Linked DNA regions of Lepisosteus oculatus. The protein of the gene in region 1 interacts with the protein of each later gene in a pairwise test. Links are inferred from orthologs where the notes say so. Each region holds a gene or a part of one and is shown in the gene's direction. Other genes may lie near its edges. The genes, in order: gucd1 and cystathionine gamma-lyase.

Region 1 (11,664 bases):
TAGAAATCCCGCTGGCTCGTGACCCTAAAGGATCTGAGCAGTGGGGCTGCGATTTAAAACAATGCGACTGAAGACATGTCTTGTTCACAAACAAAAACGATTGCTGTATCAAGCTTGTTCCAGAAAGAACAGGAAATATCCCAGTTAATCCTTAGGTGGCACTGGGAACAATTCTAAAATATTTAGACTAGAAGGCTCTAGTCCTAAAGCCATGAAAGATGTCTAATTTCCAAACCACCTCCAATCTCAATTATTTCATTGACCTAATTAATTGAATAAGAAGTCAAATCACCAGGGGTAATCAATTGCTGAAAAATCCCAGTTTTTGAACTCACTGATTTAAAGGGTTCAAATAGCAAACACAATCTTCCAGTCACTGTCTTCCACTAATTTATACCCTTGCATACATATTTTAGGTAAACACATAGCCCACATGATACAGGCATTGTAAAAAACTCTCTGGTATGGTTTGTACAAGTTCTTTAGCAATGCTATTTAAATGCTTCTAGCAGAAAAGATCATGCAATATGCTTCAAGAAATCTCACAGAACTTCACAGCACAATTTTCAGTTTCTTCATGGCCAACTCCCTAGAGAAGGCAAGGTGGATATTTAATTCACAGTGCCTCATAGCATAATGGAGCAATACAGCTTGTAATAGGGGGGTAGTTTCAAGATGACAAAATTTCAACTCTTATTTTTTTTACAATGCTAATCAAATGAGATTGTGATTGAAGAACATTTCTCATATTATTACCATTATCAGACGCATAAGTCTTACTCTACACTAATGCCTCTGAATGTCTCGTACATACAGTATCAGACTGTATGTTCACTGACAAGTCGGCTGAATTCACTGCAAGAGAGAGATGCTGTCAATGCACTTGTAACAATTCCAATCTGTCATCAAAAACAGGCTGTTTCATAAAGTCTTGCTCCAGCACAGTGGGGGGCTGAGGTGGAAACAAGTAAAAACTGTTCATCCCTTTACACACTGCAGTGACAGGAACCCATAGGGAAACCCACACAGCATGCTAGAGATTTAGCTGAGATATTGCTTCAAAACAACTGTGACAGTCACTCAGCCATGGGACATTCAATTACCATTACACCCGTAGATCACGAGAGTTCATGCTATTATTGATTTCTTCAACCAGGCCCAAAACTGGGGTTGACACATCAGTAATTGCTACATAGCCTGGATTAAACACCTTGCAAACACCATTACAATAGCGTTTCTCAAATCCCACTTTCAAAAGCAATTGGATTTTGTCTGAGCTGTTAAGTAATTGAACTAACTACTCCCTTAACTGAGCCAGTGTATCTCTCTTTTTCAGATCTAAAGAGGATAATCTTTTTTTAAAGAGGTGTATGAAACCCCGCAAGACTGTGACCCTCGGGGAGTGTAAACGATCAATCACATTGCAGCGCTATGATACAAAGTAATACCAAACTTGAAACAAAAATCCGGGACAAGCAGTATTTGTATAGATATGCATTTACGTGAGTAAATGTCGAGACTATTTAAATTTGATTTCCTTTAAACCTATAATATTTAAGACCATACGACTTGGCAGCGCTATCTAGTCAAAATGCTTAGAAACAACTAACCACACATACTGTAATTACTGGCAGGCACGATGCACTAAACAGACGATGATCTAGTCCAAAAAAGAAACCCTTTCCCTTGACCTGATTCAGTCAAGATGCTGAGAGCCGCGTGTAGTCTTAGGACCCAGCGGACGTTGGTATAGCGGCCGTAGTACAGTGAAGTACAACCAAAACAACCGTGTGGGGTGAAGATCGCCGAGATCTTTTCATTTCTCCCTTCGCTTTCATGCGAAAATCGGCGTTACCTGTACGGACACATCCTACAACACGGGCCGGGCTTGTTAATAATGCAAAACCTACCGACTGCCCACCCCCCCCTCAAAATCAGAGGCCTCTTACCCAGCAGAATAAATAGTGTGCGAGATCGCGGCCCGAGACGTTTGCAATAGGAGTGCAATTTTTGTCAATGGTTCACATCGCCGATTCCGCTTTCTTGAACCGCAATCATCTGCTCTTACTGCGAGGACGCATTCTCAACTATGAAGTGTTCTTAAAGGCCAGAGCCCTCGTTCTGAACTAATGAATCACGGTTAATACTAGCTAATTGTGAAAATATATATTCACTTATAACGCGCACCCATGTTTCTCTCCGCCTGTGATCATAATGCCAACTAGGCTGGACACTCGGCAAGTACGAAGTGAAAAGTAAATTGAGAGACGAACGCCCGCCTTTCAAACACAATCGCACATTCTTGCGAGGGATAAGAGAGGGAGAGTTTGCATGCCCCGTTGGCTGTAGTTAACAAGACAGATGTTAAAATCACAAACAGCCAAATTCAGCGGAAGACCGCGCTCGCAAACGCATTACACCAAACCGCACGCGTTTCCTGGCGAAATTCCCAGCCGTGCATATCTCAGGGAGACGCGTTACCTTTTCATGTTCCCCGTCAGAAAATGTTGCAGATTCCGCTACTTTCCCAACACCATCGCACGATTTCCCTGCAAATAAGGCTGTCTGGCAGGGAGAGCGGACGACTGGGCGCTGATAGGTGGACTGGAAGTGGGATAGTCCAATCCCGACATAAAACAGATCAAATCCTCCTCCTTCAACTGAGGAGTGTTTTGCGGGATCAAGCTGTAAACCTACAGAACTGGTCTCAGATGGGGATTTTCCCCCACAATGAGTCTGATCAGTTTTGACCGATTACTAGTACTTCGATTTCGGAATACCATGCCGCGATATACTGTTGATAATACGGTTTTAGCAGCGGGCAAGCGAACGGTTAACGATATATGCTTTTGGTGAAATTAAATATTCAATTAACGTTTTCTGTGTCCGGCGAGAAATGGTGAATTTAAGCAAATAGGCTGCTAGCAATGGAGGTGAAGGAGAAAGCTGTATCCCTGTTTAAAAATGTCTGAATCGTGAGAACGCTGCATCATACTTAAACGCTCATATCTGACTAACTCGCAACCCATTACCTCTCAAAGTTACAGAAATATGCATTAGCGACGCATAACACCCACGTACACTGAAATTGTGGCTCTCTGACGCCCTCTCGTGGGCAGAAAGGTCCTAATCAATGTTTCTCGACGTTCATTTTTAATGTCGATTCTTTGCTGGGTGCCGATGTTTGTGTATTTTCTTAACTGTACATGCAAACAAAACCCTGCCATATTTTTTTCTAAAAAAGTTACATATATATATATAGCAGTCCAGCCGTGACAGTGTTATTCACTGTTCAAACACTTCACATAAAACCCAGGACATTTATCCCAAGATGAGACCACCCTACTTCTGATTTCTCCACAAAGTACTTTGAAACTATTTGAATCAGGCATGTTGCATGAATGGCACTGGCCTCGTCGGTAAAACTATATCAGTCTCTATATTCTAATGTATTGGATTTCTATAACATTTCACCTCAACACACTCTGCATATTTGAATGTGCACTTCACCCACTGCCAAAGAGCAGCACCCACCTGAGAGAAGTGGTAGATGTGCACCAACAGCTCCTCTACAGAGCAGATCAGGTGGGGGAGTCAGAAATGGCTTCAGCTGAATTAAGAGGGAGCTTCAGAGACACTAGAGTGGAAGATGTGTAAGCTGCCAGATTTAGATTACACAAAACTGAAACACCAGCAGATCACTGGGAACAAAGTATGAAACCTGAAGAGTAAAAAAAAAGGCACAGCTGCACTCATGTTCAACATAAGTTTTTTATTTAACGGCCAAAGATATGAATTACTATTAAAACAAAACCAGACTATGTTGTCCACTAGACATTATTTTATCAATGCATCAATTCTGGAGAAGCTCATAAGGTGAATTATGTTTTTGAAACAAGACTGAATGGAAACCCGACATTTCTTACAATACAAACTTCATTATAAGTCAGTACAAAAGTGACAGAAGTTGAAAATCATCTTTAGACCAAACCTAAAGGCTGTTATGAGGATCAATATGTTGAATTACATAAACAGCTGCCCCTTTCATGTAGATTCGACTGCAGTAAATCAAATGTTAAAGACAGTACTGACTGAATATTGATTTGTTAAAATGTGAAAGTAAAGGAGCTGCACAAACACTGGACATTATACCTATTTTTATTGAGCACCTAAAAAACTTGCCAGAAAAAAAAAATCAAAAATGATTTGCCTTTTAACAGACAACATCGTGAATGATCACCCAACCTTTTAAAAAAACTGTACAGTAAGAAAAGGCCATGAAGTGCACATTGAGGGTTATCGTCTCTTCTGGAAAATATTTCCTCTTCCCATTCCCCCGCGGCCTCTTCCTCTCGCAGCCACTTAAAAAGAAAAAAGTGGACACAATATACAGTACGTGTTAATCACCCTATAATTGCAAACAAGCTGCACTAACTGGCAATGCCGATCAACAGATTACCAACAATACTGCTGCTCTGGAATAAGTTCCATCGTTCAAGAAATGACAGGCCCCTCAGATCAGTAACTTATTAGCAGCCACGTGACCTGATACGAATGTCTTACTTCTAATGAAGGCCTTAACCCATGCACCTAAACCTAAGGAGTTTTAACCCAGGTCATTACGTAGGTGTAGAACCAAGTAACGATGCACACGTCAGCAGGTGGTGATCGAAGAGCACTTTCTAGCTGGCGTTACTTTATTTCAAGACAGTCATCAGTACGATGGACGCTAAGGAATAAATTTAATAAAAACCAATAACTTTGATATTTCTGTAGGGTTCTGCTGATCACGCTGAAGTCCTCTACAGAAACACACCACCTGGAGAACTGTCCTCTGAATTGGAGTCTGGTGAACAACATACCTTGAGCTTTGAGAATGGCAGCCTTCCCTCTTCCAGCTCCAGAGCCCTGGTTTTTGTTCTTCATACTCTTCAACATGGGGGCGTTTTTCAACATGTCCGGCAGGATTAGAAATCTTATCTTGCTGCCCCGGATATAGACCTGTTCCAACTGCGCCACACGTCCATCTCTGTATGTCACAGTGATATTAGACATCTGGAAGACAAAAAAAAGCAGCTTTAAATTCACTTGCATGTGCACAACTCTGCATGAGATTAATTCAAAGAATCCATCAAAAGCACATAATGTGTGAAATTATATGGGGTCACTGGCCTAAAAGGTTTGCTTGGTTTTGTGACCCCTGGCATTTCTCATCTCAACCACTTATCAGGCTTACCTGGCAGTTCATATTGTCCTCTGCTTCTATAAGCTTTCCTCTGTACACTTCGCCCGTGTTGGTTTCACAGGTGACGATGTGACCCTCGGCCTCATGCAGAACTTTGATAGGCACTCCGATGGACATTTTAACTGGGACCTCTAAACAAACACCATGACAGGGAGGCAAATAATTCCAGGTGAGCAATATTAGGCTAGAACACACAAAAACCATGCTTCTGGATACCTTGGAAAAAGCCAGCATCTCTACCCCATGCCCGATAAATTAGATTCTGTCCTGCAGCTCAGTTTGTACACAAGTTAAGGTTACACATCACACGTTTTTGTAAATGCCTGTTATTAGGTAACAAGATTAAAATGCATTCAGTAACGAGTATTAGATTTTGAATTTAGACAATTGTAAAGGGTTTGTATGGACCAAGCAGGCCATTAGCTGTTCACAAAGGAATCAAAACCTGGATACTGGATGCATTTACTCATAGGTACGCATGTTTAGTTCGAGTCTAAAGAGCAATCTGATTTAACCTGGTATATACTATCAGTGATCAAGATGGACCCCAGAGCAAAATTCACTAGTACTTTTAACTTTTTTGACAGTTTGTTAGCATACATTTTACAAAATAGATGTGATAATGTGCACTTCACAAGATTAAAAAAAAAATTAGGCAACTCTTTTTATAGATAATAGACCAGTGCGTTAAGCAACATTCACTAAAACAATCTTCGAAGCAGATATTCTGCACTTTCGAAACATATTCTTCAAAGCAGTAAATGAGAACAAACGGTCTCTACTTCGACACGGCCTTTGTGTTATGGCAAAGCCCAAAGAGACTTGGGTAGCTTTAGCTATGGGAAAAAAAAAACCCATCTCATTAGCAAAAAAAAGTTTTTGTTTTGCATCTGGGAGAAAATACTTCAGGAGAAGGTATATTTGTTTTCTAACGTAAAGTATTTCCACGCCATTCAAATCAAGTTCATTTCCTACCTTCAACGAACTCATAATCTTGATTCCCTTCGTTAAAAGAAAGGTAATATCTTACAACTTGTAATGAAACATAAAATTCTTACCTGTTCACAGCAAATATTGAATTCCTTCTCTTATTTAACCGTTTCCCGGTTTTAATCGTGAACGGCAGCGTGTTTAAAACCTGACCGCCTCGGAGTACGATTTTGTTCGTTTCCAATACCCCACAATGCAACGCGTTAAAGGAAGTCACAAAGTGCTTCCGGTTCGATTTGGGTTTTTCCGTCGTTATGATGAATGTTGGGATTTGTAGTTTAACCAACATAACGTCTTCTAAAATTTCTCAAGAATGAAAATAAGTATAACGGGCTTTCTTTTTACTAAATACCACACAAGGAGGAAACATGTTCTGTTGCTCCAACTTTTTTTTACTGTGCTACGAAAAACATTTGTAAAGATATACAGTAACTCTCATCAATGTATAAGTTCTTATTATTTCATTAAACCTTCTTCTTCGTCACTTGCTGGGTTTATTCCAAACCCCTTCTTTTTCTGAAAAGGAAAGAAAAACAAGTTGAAGATGCACTTGATTTTGTGACGTTTAAGAATGGCTCTAAGCAGCTACCCAACAAAACTAAAATAAAAAAAGAAATAGCCAGTTGTAAGTTGCTCCCCAATAATTTGTGATCGCCCCGAATATCTCACCATCTACTGTCACGAGTAGTACACTGGAGTACAATATATTATAAGAACAGCCTATTTATTCTAGTTCTCGTCCCTCCTTGACTGTGTTTAGAGGGCGCTGTAGGCGCAGCGGTTTTCAAATGAGCGTCTGTGGAAGTCCTCGTTTTGCAAGAGGAAATTGCGTACGGCGGAGATGCAGGCAGAGGTGCCCAGCAGATCAGCACTGTAGTGCCGGAGAGAGGCGGCCCGGACCGGGGTCGTAACTGTGGCTCCTAATGTTCATGTCCGGCGAACAGACCCAGCGCCGTGGTGCTGAGACGGTTTCCTCTCTGAAAATCGCCAGATCGTGCGCAGAAAGTGAAAAGGACTTAACAGCATTATATAAAAAACAAGCAGCACAGAATGACAGGTAAGATGGAGCGTTAGCGTAGTACTCCGTGTCGACGAACTGGATGATTTGGGATGGTCCCGCTTTGTTTTTGTTTTAAATCAGCCCTTGTTGGAAATTAACATATTCAACGATTTCGAGGCTCCAGGAAAGGTCCCGTCGTGCTGTCGAGGTGTTGCGGGCCCTGTTACCACAGGTGTTAAGTGTTTTAATGTACACGACTGTTTCTCGTCAGGCATCTGAAAATAAATTAAGAGGAGCAGTGGTGTGACTGGTTTCAGAAGTTCGCTTTGCGGCTGAGCACAGATGTCCTTCAACCTGCTATGCACTTCTTGTCCTGCGTGTAAAACAAGTTAAAACACTACACGAACCACTATCGAATTAACTGTAAATAAACCCTGGGTCGTACAGTAGCGTGGTAGGTACATTTATTCACCGGTCACGTAAATGGAGTTAACATCCGTGACTGAGCCCTCTATCCCGATTGACACAGCTCCGTACAGCGTGTTTACAGTTTAGTTCAGTGATAAGAGTAGCTCATATCCGTGTTTTTTTCTCCAGCCGTGTATTTTATCGCAGGTAGTTGATTTCAGTTCTGTTTTCGGTGCGCATTTGGAAATGTGCTTTCAGCTCTTAAAATACCAAATGGGATTCGTAATTGGTATCAAGCACGTACCGACTTCTGAGTGTCGTGCGTGTGTGCTGCCTGAGAAGTACTCACTGTACCTTCCTGCAGAAGAAAAATAAAACTGCCTATTCTGGGAATGTCTGATAAACTCTCACTCCCACCTGTGTCTGTTCATTATCAACCAGTGATTAGTTAGACGGCAATTTGAGAACAGACTGCATACAGGTTTGTGTGCTGTAGTTGTTGGAAACAGTACCCTTACAGTAGGGTATGTGTGGCATTCAAGACAAAGAAACAAGATAAATAAATTGCTAAAAAAGCATGCAGATCTGTTAAGTCAGATAGAGATATGGAGATATAGAGCTCAGTTGGAAGGAAAAAAAAAGCAGTGTTTCTCCTGTACCAGGGTTAGGAATCACTGGATTAGACAGTTTCTAATTTGAAATCATTGACGATCCCTAATTATATATGTATTACTGCATAAAAGGAAACAATTGACCATATTGCTTGTTTGGCAGTTTAGTTGCTACAGTAGGTGCATTTAACATTTCCTCCATCCAATTTCTTACCACTTTGTCCAATATAGGGTTGCATGTTTTCAGTGTTTATTTTATCGCTATGTTTTTATGTAACACACCAGAAGTGTAATATCTGAGTATATTCACGTCAAGGCCCTTTTATTTGTTTAGATGGTGTTGTTCAACTGAAAGTACCTGCCATTCGGCAGCTCTATCACTGGGACTGTGGGCTGGCTTGTTCCAGAATGGTTTTGAAGTAAGTAAGACAGTGAAAAACATTTTGTAGACTACATTCAGAATGGACTGGAACTTTAGTAGCATTTACAACATAAAATGTGGTGATGAAAATGATTATTGTTCTTAATTTATGATGATTGTTTTTTTTTATGTTGCCTAACTGGAAATCTAGCTCATCGCATAGCTAGAGTCGTGGCTCTTAGTGCGAATGTGTGGCATGCAGCTGTAGTTTTGTGAACTAACAATGCAGTTTTAAAAGCTTGCAATGGGTCAAACTGCTATTGGAACATAAGGAAGTGGTTGCAGCAGTGCTGTGTTTTATTGCCCCCTGACGTTACTGTGTAGGTACCTCCACCCAGTGAGTGAGGAGGAGTTTCAGAATGCCTGCTGGGAGCTCAAGCTGACCGAAAGTGTATGGACTATTGACCTGGCCTACCTCATGAGCCACCTGGGAGTCAGACATCAGTTCTGCACCCAGACCCTTGGGGTAGATAAGGGCTACAGAAACCAGGTACTGGCCAACTCTGCACTTTCCTGACAGTCCGACTGGTGTGAACTATAGGGCTAAAGACCTCTATAGGTTGGAATATTTCGTGCTAAGGTAACTCGGTTAGGTAGTGGATCCAGTTTACCTGTAGGCACTCTGGCCAAATAGCTCAACTGGTTCATTTACTGTGCAGTGGGCCATTAGGTGTTGTCACAAATGTTTATTGTGCTTTAATAAGAATTTAATACACTTATATAGATGTTTTCATTACAAAAGGATATCAAAGTTCTTTATATATATATAGGAGGGGACTGACGTCTCTGCTACGGAAGTGTAGCCCCCACCTGAGAGACACACTGCAGCCATTCTAAGCCAGCAGCCCCAGGTGGAGCAGGCGAGAAGTGACATTTTTTTGCCAGTTGAATTAAGAGAGTAGTTTTATACGGCCAGATTATTCATGCCCAAAGTAGTATTTTGGTAGGACAGATGGATAACCACCTCTATTCCTTTGGAAAGTTCCATGAGTTCTTTAATTTTATGGTCCTTTTCCTTGACACACCTGCGAAAAGTGAACAGTCATGTAATACTTAACCTTACATGTAAGTAATTGACTAGCTTCCCTCTGATTCCCCAGTCGTTTTACAAAAAGCATTTTGACACCGAAGAGGACAGAGTGAATGAGCTCTTTAACAAGGCAGAGAGCAATGGGGTGGTGGTGAAGAAACGGTAGGTATTTTATCATTTTGTGTCCTTTTGCTTTCCTTTTTTTACATCTGCTGTGTTCTTGCTTTCAGCAGGAAAATAGAATTTTCATTTGTCTACTTAGCATCTCCAAGACACCTGCAAATGTCAGAGAAACAATGACATTTACAACATGCACTCTTCTGTCTGCTTGTGCCACCTGCTTCCAACTTGTTTTGGTGTTTTTTCTTTTAATGGCCATTCCCTAATAGAACTTTAACCACAGTCTTATGAATAAAACTACAAGCCTGAAAATGACTTCTACGTTAAACTCTGTTAATGTTAATGTTAGACATGGTAAACGTCCGGATAGTGAGTGCTGATGTTCTTCTCACATTTCACCTTATTCTGAAGTGGGATTAAAGCAAGAAAACTGTATGTTCCCCTGGTCCTGCAGGTTCTCTGAGATTAACAAAGGCGAACGTCTGAATACAGTGGAAATTTGGACTAATTCAAGCCATAAGAGATTAGGTGAAGGTGTTAAGAGAGCATGTGGAATGAATTGTAGAAGAGCTTCCCAAGATTTAGAGTACATATGTCCGGTTTAAAGAAAATATCAATGCTTTTATTTTTTTTAGTTGATTTAGCCTGTAACAGGAGTGATTTTGATCTTCTACAGCTCTGTGACGATGCAGGACATCCAGAATCACTTGGCTCAAGGGCACGTGGCGATAGTGCTGGTGAATGCTGTGCTCCTGGTCTGTGACCTCTGCTCCACCCCTGTCAAGTATTGCTGCTTCCTTCCTGTGGGCCAGAAGTGCTTCTGCAGGAAGCCTGACTACCAGGGGCACTTTGTGGTGGTGTGTGGCTTCAACCTTGCCACCAACTCTGTCTTCTACAACAACCCAGCTTACTCAGACAGTGAGTTCCCCTTGAAGTGATTCCTTTGGGAAGATGGAAAAAGAGTGCCACAGTAAGGAACAACTGTGGGGGAAAAAAAGTTGTTCCGATGTGTCATGGTCTTCATTGAATTGCCGTTTTGAATGACAAGACCTTTGTCTTTCCTGTGTTTCTTAGAAGTAGTACAGAACTTTTATAAATCCAATCCTCTCTAAAATTTCTGAGTATGAACACATACTCTGCTTTGATGCCAGAGTGGGATACTTATGGAAGATAACATTTAAAAATTCATTTCCTGTGATCTTAAAGAAGATTTGATTTGATTAGTGGTAAGAACTGGAATATGAAATAGTTCCATTATAGCAGAGCAAAAGAAATGTCTTTCTGAAAGATCATGGTTTTGAAGGACTGCAGGAATGTATTCCATGCATTCTGAAACACAGACTGCATCCAAGGAAATTTGCTTTCAGTGACAAAAAAATTCCTTGTGTATTTTGCAGGAGTGTGTTATACCAGCGTAAGTAACTTTGAGGAGGCACGAAAAAGCTATGGGACAGACGAAGACATTCTGTTTGTCTACAAGGAGAGCTGATGTCCGGGAGACATGCCTGATTTCTGCACACGAGCACTACACCGTGACAGCTTTGCTGTTTGTTTACAGCCTAGGACATTGCACCAGAACTTAGCAGCTTTGATCTTTAAGTTTGGGCAGCATGGTATCTTTAGATGGGGCTGTTTGTTCCAATGGAAAAATGGCTGATTGCACAAAAAAACACATCACTGTGTCATTTGTCTACCTTCATAAACCACGTGTTTCAGGTGGTGTCAAAGTAAGGGAATTTCTTTTTTTGTGGACAGAATGTAGAAAATGTGACTGAACACGTCCAGTGTTATGATTTTTCCTTCTGTGCATATGGGCGAGTTCCACATATTGAGAAAAAG
Region 2 (12,268 bases), on another chromosome or scaffold:
ACCTTAGCAAGAAAACATCTGGGCACTATGATAGGTAGTCATCATGGATATAGCTGCTCAGAAGCTTTTGCAGTACTCTGATTGCAGCCTTGCAACACATTCTGTATTTTTCTATTGACAGGTCACTGAGTGCATGTTGTTTCTTCGGCTTTCTATCAAACATTTAAATGATTTTAGAAATACTTTCTTTAAGGGTTACCATTTTCCTTCCTCTGACTGGTACATATTTGAGTGTTATTTCTTCAACTCTCTGCAACAGTATTCACAGCACTTTTGCATGCCTCGTATCTTGAGTCTAAAAACATCTCCGTCTGCAGATCGCCAACATATTTGAAGATAACGTGCTTGACTCAGCAGAGAACAATGTAGTAAATGAAAGCGGTCTTCAAACCCTCACGATTGCATGTCTGAATTTAAAAGACCCTCTTAGCATCAGAGCTGCATTTGCTTGGAACCGACACAAAAATGTTTTGCGGTCTGTGATTCGGGGCACTTTAAATAAAGGGCTTTATAGTACAGTGACAAGAATGACAAGCTTGTCTTTTTGGAAGGAATTCTGTGTGTAGGCTGATCAGGGAGTCCAAAAGGATCCTCCTATGTGGTCTGATTGTTTTTCTCTAGTTATGTTGTCACATCTGTCTGCTGCCACATCCGATAAGTGCAGTACAGAGTTTTGCACGTGCCTACAAGAAGGAATAAACCTTCCTGGTTTTGTGCTTCCTTATTAATTTGCCTGCCGCTGAAAAACATTTATTTTTCGTTCTCCATTTCCTCTAGTGTTGTGTTCAACTTTTTTTTTTTATTTCATGTGATCGTTCCTGGTCCTGTTATGTTCTGGCTGTAACCTTAGATCTTGAAGCCCTCCCGTATGCCATAACTGGTGGAATCAGTCAGGATATATGGTATAGATAGTTGACGTGTCAATACTCCTGGCTCTCTTTATTTCTTACTAAGTTTTAATGAAGTCTTAGATTTCATAGCTTCCTTCAGAGCTCATTCAAGCCTCTTCTCTTTTCCCCCTCACTGAAGTCTGCTCTTAGCTTTACCCCTCCAACTGAAACCCTCTTCTGTCGAAAGCAGGATTAAACTGGAATTCTGATACTTCAGACCTGTTATTTAAAGAAGCCTGGTGCTCAGATGATGCTTTATGTGAAGTAACATGCAGAGGACTGGTCTTGAACCTGCAACACTTTAACCTGTAGCACAATGTGGATTGTTCATGCAAGTCAAGATGTTGTGTTGGGGATGCGGTTTCTTCATTTTCCTTTATTTTTCTTCTTTAAGGAGTTGGGGCAGATATGTTTTTTCATTTCCATATTTTGTTTTTATTTTTTTCCCTTTGGTTTTCTCTATTGTCTTACCAATGAACAGTAAACAGAAATCCATTTCTTTCATTTGATAGCCCAAGATGTCACGTCTGGATCATTATTAATATTCCCCACCCTCTTTCATCAATAGTCCCTATTCTTCCTCCCCTTTTAAAATTGCTTTGACTTAATCCACAACATACATACATATTTTCTCACCTAAAAGGGATAATGTAGAGCCCTTTATTGAATTGTCTTCATATGAATAGATGCATGAATGATACCATCAGGAACAAATACAGAAATGTGCTGTGTATCTTGCAAGGTTTTTCATATAAAAAAATCAAAACAAATTAATTCACTAAAGCATATCTACTGTATTGCACCCCATAAAATAAATACTAGTAATCAACATCAGGCATATACTTAATAGGAAGCTTTGTAGATAGCAGCTTCATTAGTATACATGTGTCAAGATATTCAAGTAGGTAACTGCGTGCCTGACCCCTGAAGTAGGCTCCAGAGCCAAAACCTTTTCTTTCTTTACTTCTCTTTACTGCATGGAATAAACCTTCACTTGTTCCTATGTGTCAGGATATGTGTATTTACAGAGCTGTTAGTTTACAAAAAAAACTCCTTTTATATTTTCCCAAAGCACCATCCACAAACCAGCTACTTGTTTTGTGGAAGTTCCACCAAGAAGAAATCATTATTTTTCCATCTTAAATCATGCTTTAATTCTGATCGAAAAAGATGAACTGAGATGATGAGAGGCACTGCGCCTCTGCCGAGATGGATACTGGCAGTAAACGTGTAACACTGATCAGCAGCTCTTCATTATTCCTGCCAATGATCAGACCGTGTTGAATAACGGAACAGTTTTACCGATTTGTTCACAAGCACCATTTCTAGTTAGATTAAGTGAACAGATGATCAGTATTACACATTTTCGCACAGGCATTGAGAACAGATCCTCTCAACAGTGAGATGTGTGATGGTGAATTTATAATTAACACCTTTCCTGTCAAAATCCTGGTGCACATGCGGTTTCTGAGGACAGCAGCTCTGGACTCCAAACCACAGGACTTCTATGGCAGGTTGGATGCTATTTTCGTACACTTCACTAAGGTACTGTACTTCATCCACGGGGATGCAATGCTCTGAAATATAAACTGGTACACACTAGGCCATCATTTGCAAATGAGAACTTGTTTTCGATTCACACTACTGGTTAAGTAAGAGATTCAAATAAGAGTAATGACAAATGTCAGAGTCATTGTAGATAATGGTTGGGTTGCATGCAGGAAGAGATTTTCAGATGGAGAGGTTAATCCTAAACAACAAGGACAAAAACAGGACAAGGAGAAAAAAAAAATAAGCTTCTTTTAATGCCACGCTGTAAAAACTAAAGACTGCTTGTTCTTGATCAATCCATGTTCTGATCCAAGCAATTCTGTTTCTTCTTGCGGCATGTAAACCAAAAGCACTTGGGACTGTAGTATCACTGCAACGCACATCTTTTTCAGGACGAAATATTCCCAGATATCAAGCTTGTTAAACAATCATTTAATGATTTGCACTTTTCTACAAGACAAAGGTGTCTGCAGGCCGCTCGCGTGATTGTGAAAATAACATTTTAGAGCAATTCAATATGAGGAGGTTTTAGTGAAGAGTACTGGCAGGCATATCCACAAGTCAAAAAGAGACCGCTTGTTAAACACTCTTCTTATTTGCCCACATACCCAGGCTCAGAGAAAAGATCATTATGAAGCCAGGAGAGTCGTCTACCAACGTGCTTTCTAAAAAAAGGGGGCAGAAGACGTATTTCACAAGATGGCCATGCTTCTCCACGTAAAGAACGTTTACAAGACAGGAAAACCACCGTCAAAGCCTGAATTTGAGATTTGTACGCTTTTTATTGCATGTTTTAACAGCCCCTCGCCAACGCAGCATAACCACATTCACGTGGAAACAAACCGAAAGCAGAAAATCTTTTTCAAATACAGCTGAAGGCACACTGAACAGGAAACATTTTTCACATAAAACTGGATTTATTTGTACTGTGGACACCGCAATTGAAAAAAAGAGTCTGTACTCTGGAGGGTATATTTAACACAACTTCAGTCTACTAAAAGTGAAACGACTGAAAAACAGTAAAGGCAACCCGGGTACAACACATAAACAGCTGCATACAGAACTGTAACTTATATAGGAATAGACCAAATCCCTCTATATGCCTACAGAAGGCAGGTTTCAGTTGTCCCACCAGAGACACGCGTTTTTTGCAATGCAGCCTGTCAACTTCAGTGGCTGTGAATCATCTGGGATGTGGAAAGCAAATCTCGGTGATGCTCCACAAGCCACAAATCTTTTACAGCGGGGGAGGGGGGTACCTGGCTGGTCTCCAAGTAACACTGCTGTCCCAAACACAAATGTCATCGCAGCGGTGCATGTCTGCGCTGTAGAAGTCGCAATTACAACGTCAGGCAAACCCCGCGTCTAAATACGCCACGGACACGTAGCTCAATATCGAGCACACAGCCGGACATAAAAAGTTCTCGTACATTTCAGCCTGACTTGAGAAGGCGACCCGAGTGGGTTCGCTTACCGTGAACATCCTTCTGAGCGATGTTCTGGGTCCTGATCAGGGACGACAGCCGACGCACGTCCCCCTTGAACACGCACTCGTGGACGGGGAAACCCTCCGTCGTCCGGGTTATGGGGTTCTTGTTGTTGTCATCGATAGTCCCCGTCGCCGTGTTAGTGTTCGCGTTTGCATTGATCTGAGATTGCTGATGCAGCTGCTGTGGCCCCGGCGCTTTGATCAGCTTGTGATTGCTAAAAATCTTATTGGCTTTGCCTCTGTTACTAGTCCGGGTAGTGGAGGAGGTGAACGTCCCGGCGGCGGCTTCCTCGTCGGGCTCCAGTAAATCCTCCTCTTTGCTTGGCTTGTGGTCCTTGCGCAGGGATCGTATCTTTTCGCCGGTCATTTTTCTTTAAATCTCAGAAAAACTCGCAGAGGGGGATGCTGATGCCAGGGATGGAGGGATAGGCGGAAAGTGTCGCTGGCGGTGGCGAGGATGCCAGCGGTAGATAGGCTGGGGAATGCCGAGACAAAAGCAGCAGTCCGCACAACATGAAAACACTAAATCCCCAAACTGTAACATACGGTAACGAAAACTGACAAGCCGCGCATACACACAGAAAACCGAGGATCCCCTAACCGCTCCACTCCGCTCCCTCAAACTATAACGTCCCTATGCTGGCTACTCCTGCAGGGTATATCCTCCGACTCCAGAGAAGACCCAACAGCCATCTTCCGCCTCTAATCTCGCGAGAGTGTCCAAGTGGGTTTCCAAGGCTCAAGCAGGATGTTAGATGATATCGCGATGTGTGGTTGTTTTTTCAACCTGTATGGAGTTACTGCAGTTAGGGTTTGAAAATAATTATTCGCTGTTTTGGATGCAGGAGATGTTTTTGGTAAAATAAACCTGTAGCAAACTGCGGTTGGTATGACAGATGGCAGAAAATATCTTCATTAAAAGCGAATCCCAATTTTGTTGTCTTAACGGAAAGTAATATATTTATGAAGTGATGTACATGCGTAATTCAGATAAGGGGAACATTTTGGTGTTTTTCCATTAAATAAGGTTTCTGTATCCTTACGATGATAATCTGACTTTATCTGTATATCTTTTTTTTGTTTTAGGTCTCGTATTTGTGCTGGGCGACTCAGTTTTTATAAGCAGATAACCTTTAAACCAACATAGTTATAACATCCATCCATTTTCTATGCGATTTATCCAATTGAGTCGCCGGAGACCATCCCGGCAAGCAACGGGCGCAAGGCAGTGAGTGTACACTCTGGACGGGACGGCAGTCCATCACATTGCACACAGACAGACATGCTGACACATCAGGACGAATTTCCCCAGATTACTACCACGTTATAGCAGTGTGGGAGGAAACCCACGTAAACATGAAGAGACCGTGCAAACTCCACACGTATAACATCCATGGTCTGAAATCGAACCCGGGGCCCTAGCGCAGCGAGGCAGCAATGCTAACTACTGCACCACCCTCATCTTACAAAAATAATGTAAAAAATATAACGACAACATATCTTCGAGCTTTATACATTTCTAAATATCGTAAAGAATTTGAGTGGCACGGCGGCACACTGGTTACAGCATATGTACTTACACAGTTTCGCTGACTACACAATGTATTGTATTGGATAAGCCGTGGATACTTTTAATGACCTTTTGCTGCCTTTTATTTATTATAACTCGTTAGAATTAATTTTTCCAATATAAGGAACATTTTTTAGTTTAGCCGAAGAGCTCAAATTCCAAATGATTTGCATACTACCTTTGTCATACGGATGTTACTCACCAGCGAACACACCTATAGTTACTGATGAAAAAAAAACATTAAAAAGTCAGGAGGATAATCTTGCAGTCTCTGGCAATACAATCATGGCATTCATGTTAAGAATAAGTCTATATCGTGCCAATTGCTATTTTCTGTCTCTTTCATCCCGTGAACTGCATTGAATTACAATGAGGGTTGCAAAAGTCTCATTCTATCACAAATACAGATTCAGATCTACGTTGCTGTTGAGGACAAGGCTATTTGCTTAATACCACCTATTCTGAGGTCATTGTGATGTGTTCCTCCAAGGTGTCAGTCTAGTTGTGATTGATTTATATGATTTAGAATAAACTGCAGAAATCCGATATAAGACAGCAAAAGAACGACGACAGTCCATAGCAGTTCAAGACTGTTGTGGTTACAGCCGTGCGCAGTTATTGTGCCATTTCTATTAATTTGTAAGACAATGTGCCCACTTGGTCTCTCATATTTGCGGAATCGTTGCGGTTACGCATTTTTTTAGAACTCATGAAGTAACAGTAACGAGAACCTTTCCTGAACTTCATCTAAATCTCGTCCCAGCCAAGTGGCACCCCCTATTGGTCAAAATGAAAAAACGCAGCCTCCAAACACTCAGTTTTAGTTACCCAGGCTCTTTGTCGTATCGATTTCGTGCAAAAAATAATCTCATTTGATCAATTCGAGTATAAAAAATGCAACTATTCAGAGACATTTTGTCTTCAAAAATACGTTTTTAATTTAGAGGACACGAGAACACAACTTTCTCCGTGTTATTTCACTATATTAAAACGTTTGGTAAGTGAGGCCATCCAAAACAATCTGAATTATGAAATTTGTATTAATCCCTTCTAAAAATCAATTATGTTCAGTGTTATTGTCATACAATTTGAGCGCCAACGTCATAATCCGTCAGAGATAATTTGTGTAGGTCTTTGATGAATTTGGCCGCGGTCCAAATAGTTGAAATCCGTATGCTGAGCATATTCAAGACTGAATAAATCAGAGGGCACAAATGGAAACTGGTTGGGAGAGCATTTAAAACCGAGAACAGGAGGCACTTCGTTACACAAAGGGCCGTGGGAGTGTGGAGCAAGCTGCTTTCAATAAACGGTTGGATGAGATCCTCGGATCAATTATTAACTATCAAAAGCGCTGGATGGGACAATGGCCTCTCGTTTGTAACCCTGCTTATTTTGTACTTATTTGCATGCCCGTTTGGGCGCTGCTGATTCTCAGTGAGAGCTTAATTTATTTAACTCTTTCTTGCATAAGGAAGGGGAAACCTGCTTTCCCATCTCAAAACCATTCACACAGAAAAAAAAACTTTTTTTTATTCATGTAACTAAAACAACGACATGTTGCATCATGACGACACGACTACAGAAACAATTACTTTCGTAAAGCAGTCACATGTCTGACAACGCCTCCTGTTGACAAGCCAATAGAGCTCGACTTCTCCCTCTCTGCACTCTCCGTTGATTGGTTAAAAAACCGGACGTTTCGTATTTCATGTTACCCTCTCTCTTGTCATTCTCTTGTCAAGGGCCCGCACGCTGGTGTAGCTCTCAGGACATTGTGACACGTTGCTACTGCATTAGATCTAGTCATGGACTCGCGCACACGGCACGACTCTTCTGGGTTTCTGGAGGCCTTTAAATCCTTTGCAACACAGGCAATCCATGTTGGGCAAGAGCCAGAGCAGTGGACGTCCATGGCTGTAGTGCCGCCCATCTCACTCTCAACCACGTTTAAACAGCATGGACCTGGTCAACATGCAGTAAGTTGCAGAATTAATATTATACATTGAACTGTAATGCATTTCAAAGAAGAGAAAAGAAAAAGAGATTTTGCCCGTATATGGGCCTCCCTTCAACTTAAAAAATAATTTGCTGAAATGGTGTTCTTGATCGTCGTTATAATGCACGACCCATTTGACTTCGTATTTCTATTTCATAGTCCTTTCATAGTTTTGTGGACCGTGTTTTTTCGTTAGGCGATCGGACTAGTCGAACAAAAGGAGATCTTTGGGAATCCTAATAAGCTTTATGATATGTAGAGTCTTCAAAGGCGTACCGTGCTGTTAGGGCAAGCGCTTAACTTAAAATCTAGTGCCTTACCTTTTTTATATTAAGACCTCAAACTATCATGTAATAGCTGTAACTGCTAATCTTTTTAAAACCTGGGTAGTGATATTTAAAAGTATTCCATTTGGTATTCAGCAGATAGTGATGACAGTGCTTTTCACTGCCCACAGTGACAGGTGGTCAATGACTAGACACAGAGCAATGTTACTCTGCAATGTAGTTGTTGAAGCCTGGATGTAAATGAATTCATGTTAATGAATAACTCCTTGACCAGGAAAAGTAAAAAATGTAAATGTTTTAGTGACCAATGGTTGTCCATTTCTTTATCCCCAGACTCTTCCATATAATATATAAAATATGATATTCTGATGAACATGAAGCTAGTAGTTTTAGTGGCCTCTCAGGGGGTTTCAAGCAAATTTAGGTTAGCAGTTCTCCTTAGTTCTAGACACAGTGTATCTAGTGTATCCAGTGTTTCTAGGCACAGTGAATCAGACAAATTCAGGAACCCAGTGCACAGAAGGTGCTTGAGTATGAACCGATGTCACCCTAGCAGTCCTCCAACAATGAGCTAACAATGAGCAATGAGAATTATGTATTTAAATAAGCACTGTGTACCAATCCTATACATGTAGACATCCATTCAACCTGACTGGCCCCAGTGACAATATGTCATTAATCTTCTAGCCTAGTGTCATGATCAATGTGATATCATAAGGGCTAGGGAATGAATATGGGAGCCACTGTGCTGGCTTGGAGAGTTGGATAATAATAATTCCTTACACTTATATAGTGCTTTTCTGGACACTTCACTTGAAGCACTTTACAGGTAGTGAGTGGGGACTACCCTCCACCACTACCAATTATGCAATAAAGTGCGCCAGTTCACTCATCACACATCACCTATCAGTGAAGAGAAGAACAGACAATGATTGGTAAAGGGAGACCAGGACACCGGGATTATCAACCCTACTCTTTTATGAGAAATGCCCTGGTTTTTTTTTAATGATCACGGTAGTCAGGATTTCCATTTTATGTCTCATTTGAAAAACAGTGCCTATACAGGGCATTAGGACCCACACAGACCACTGGTGAGCGCCCCCTATTGGCCCCTCTTCTAGCAGCAACCTTAGCTTTCCCAGGAGGTCTCCCATCCAGGTACTGGCCATGCTCACTCCTGCTGAGCTTCAGGAGGTTGCCAGTTGTGAGTTGCAGGGTTATAGAGCTGCTGGGTGTATTACTGTCTAGGGTGAACTATGTCGTGGTGCTTGTCCCTACTTGAACCTGTTGCAGTTTTAGGTCTCTTGATTTACCGGTTTGTACACTTTGTGCTGTTCTTGACAGTTTGGAGCATGTGTTTGCTGGAGAATCCTCTGAACTCACGGACACATTCAAAGCACGGCAGTGGTGTCAGATAGTGGGAGGATGTTGCAATAACTGGCAAGAGTCCCTACATGGCCACACCTGAGAAAGAACCTACAGCAGCTCCAGGAAAACAAATCTCACCACCCTTTTCAAGAGCACTCCTCAGGCCATCCATCCACATAACACCACCCCATGATAGACTGCATGGGTTTCAGACCTGCAGACCTTCCTGGATCTGTGCAGAGACCCAAGCCCTTTTTGTGAAAGAGTCGGACCAGCAGTTGTACAACATGCCTGTGCACTACCACCACAGACTACCAGAAAGAAAGCAGCTTGAAAGAGGAATGACACCACCTGGACCACAGGCTCCTAATTCTGGTCATGGAGACTCATGCTCCTGCTCGTTTTCTTCCAGCTGAGCTCTCAATTGCACAATTGAACCCGTGATTGATGTAATAATAGGATTAATTTGAATTGTTTTCAGCTTTGAAATATGTGGGAGGTTGCCTTTTAACTATTGCATTTCATAAGTAAATTTATGCAAGCTTTTGCATTGCATTTTGCATTGAAAAAGAAAACTTGCAAACGTTCCAATCAACCAATTTGTCAATAAAGGTTTCCATTAGGTTATTAAACACTGCTGGAATTAAAACTAGCAGATGATTAGACCAAGACCAGGACCCCTGATTTAGTTTACATCAGGAAGCTTCAACAGAGCCTTTCGGTTTGGATCCAACTGTAGGGAGAGAAAAGAGGAATGAAGCAGTCTTGACAAATGAAATCTGATTGACTTAGAAAACCAGGGAGGACAGTTAAAGCACCAGAAATCAAACATGCCCTGCCAAAACAAAGAGGCCAGCCCTTCTGGGGGTGTTGAAAAAGAGGGCACACCCAGTGTCAATGCAAGTGGCAGAAGACGATGTCAGAGAGCAAGGATAGCTTGAGCAAGTCAGAGCAAAAATGGGACCAATCTGCTCATCTCTTATACTACTGGGGGCAAGTGGCTGCTCACCCTTGTTAACCCTGGCTCTGCAATCTCCGTCTTCCTCCCAGTGAATCGGCCAGTGAGCCCGTGGAAAGACACAGGTCAGGGGTTAAGCTCCGATGGATGACTCGGCTGCTGATGATTGGGCAAGGGGGGAAGAGAATCGTCTGGTTCGAGTTCTGGGTAGGCAGTGTACACGATCCGTGCAGCCGTGTATTGTCCGCCTGGAGCTCCTGAAGCACCCAGCCTGGCCTGAGGGAAACCAACCTGTTCATATTGTCTGAGAGGGACAAGAAGATTGCATTCAGCAGAGGGAGGTTGTAGAGACCAGCCAGGCCAATAGTTATGGGACTCAGGTGAGCACTGGCCAGGGACTATTGTGAGCTCCTACAAAAAGTGGCTGAACAAAGAATTTGATCCACTTAGTTACTAAATTACCAAATGAGCAAGATGGTCAAAAGCTGAATGTGAGAGGAAGCCATTCTTTTTGGGGTTTTAAATCCCATTCCCTTTCTCTGTGATAGACTCAAATGGCTCCTTTAATCTTTTCATGCATGATTTGCCTTTAAACCTGGGAACCACTCACCCATTTGAACTCTTTCCATGACAGCAATATCTCTTTTGTAACAATGTTAACGACTGCCCGCAGTATTCTAAATAAGGTCATATGAATAGATTGTGTAACATCCCTTACTTGCAGCTTAATATTTTACTATGTATGTGATCATTCTGTTAGTGTTTTTATTTTAACCTAAAAATTGTCTAGATGAGGAAAAGAATAAATCAAGAAACTCAGTGGTTCAAGGAGAACTGCATTGAGAGACATGCACAGCCTTCTTGGGGGCCCTAGAAATCTCATCATAAAACCAGCTGTGGACTCGGCAATGCAGAGAAGTTTGTTACAACACAGATTTTCTTCACATGTGGAAACTGTACTTCTTGTTTGCACTATACTTCTTAATTGTTCATTACTATAAAGCTCTAGCATGTTTAGATTTAGGATTGCTTCAGGGTCATAACATGTTATAAATGATTTTATTTGATGTGGTTTCAAGCTCTTGCATAATGTAAACCTTGAAGTTATAACACGTAAAAAAAAAAATGTTTTTGGCCCATTATTTTAAAAGGGAAAGGATTTCACTCTAAAATGCCACCATTTAGTAAACATTATGCTACTTGATTTAATTTTCAAAATGTTTCAATATCTTGAAAGATGAAAGCATAAAGTAAAATTAACACAAGGATCACAATCAGTCATTTTAAATATATTCCTGCTGCATGCATACAGTTTCAATAAAAGGTAGTTCATATTAAAAAATCGGAAGAATACAATGTCGGGTTAGTTCAAAATTGAACACACCTGTTTGAATTCTGTATAGTTTTCAGACTGTGAGTAAAATTAAGTCTGTGCACGGGGGTTAACACCCTTTCAAGTACTGTAGCTCACTGGGATTTTTAATAACCTAGTCATAGGGATCTCGGTTTTGTAACGAACAGTTTTTTCCGGACCCTATGCAGACAACACAATCCGAAGTAGTGAGGAAACACTGGGGAAAAAGGTCATGCAGGAATACGGGGATGAAAACAGGGGGGCGTGTCCAAAGTGCGCTGGTGCACGGGGGAGGTGTGCCCAAGGCAAACAATCCAAAGGTAATCCAGACGGGGAATCCAAAAAGACAAGCATACAGTAAGTCCATGGCCAGGCGATCCATCCAGGAGATTAAAACCAGGAACCGGGTCGGAACCGGCAGAGGGAACAGGGACAGGGACAGGGACTTAAAAACATGACAGAGCCAGACTCATCCGGACCTGGGCTCGCACGATGTGGAAATCGGATGCAGAGCCCGGAACTGACTGAGTATCTGGCTTTTAAGGGGGATGGGGAGGAGGCTGGAACAAGGGGCAGGTGCACAGAATTAAGTCGAAAGTGAAAAGAGCCGGAGTGCCCTTGAGGAGGAGGGACTACAGTCGTGACAGGTTTATCATCTTGTCTGAGGCACTTCCTACAGTAGAGCTCCCAGTCACCATAGTAGGGCATAGCTTTGAAATACAGTACGGATCTCTCTCATCAGTAAAACTTCACATTATCGCTTTGCACCACTTTTACCTAATTTGCATGGTAAATGAACTGT

Evidence for each region.
Region 2: the proteins of gucd1 (region 1) and cystathionine gamma-lyase interact in binary tests that used the Homo sapiens proteins (3 or more experiments, as listed by UniProt). The two-hybrid records come from large-scale screens. The link is inferred for Lepisosteus oculatus from reciprocal best matches to the Homo sapiens genes GUCD1 and CTH.

What each region holds. Positions count from the first base shown.
Region 1 is NC_090717.1:9,774,104-9,785,767, forward strand, and holds the start of gucd1 (protein GUCD1), read left to right. Parts: upstream 1-7,004; 5' UTR 7,005-7,285; coding exon 7,286-7,292; intron 7,293-8,588; coding exon 8,589-8,673; intron 8,674-8,999; coding exon 9,000-9,165; intron 9,166-9,775; coding exon 9,776-9,867; intron 9,868-10,501; coding exon 10,502-10,743; intron 10,744-11,222; coding exon 11,223-11,314; 3' UTR 11,315-11,664. Other genes in the region: small nuclear ribonucleoprotein Sm D3, read right to left, coding at 4,297-4,361, 4,863-5,055, 5,237-5,362.
Region 2 is NC_090704.1:30,440,304-30,452,571, reverse strand, and holds the start of cystathionine gamma-lyase, read left to right. Parts: upstream 1-7,205; 5' UTR 7,206-7,308; coding exon 7,309-7,479; intron 7,480-12,268. Other genes in the region: ankrd13c (ankyrin repeat domain-containing protein 13C), read right to left, coding at 3,916-4,297. UniProt on the Homo sapiens protein: Catalyzes the last step in the trans-sulfuration pathway from L-methionine to L-cysteine in a pyridoxal-5'-phosphate (PLP)-dependent manner, which consists on cleaving the L,L-cystathionine molecule into L-cysteine, ammonia and 2-oxobutanoate.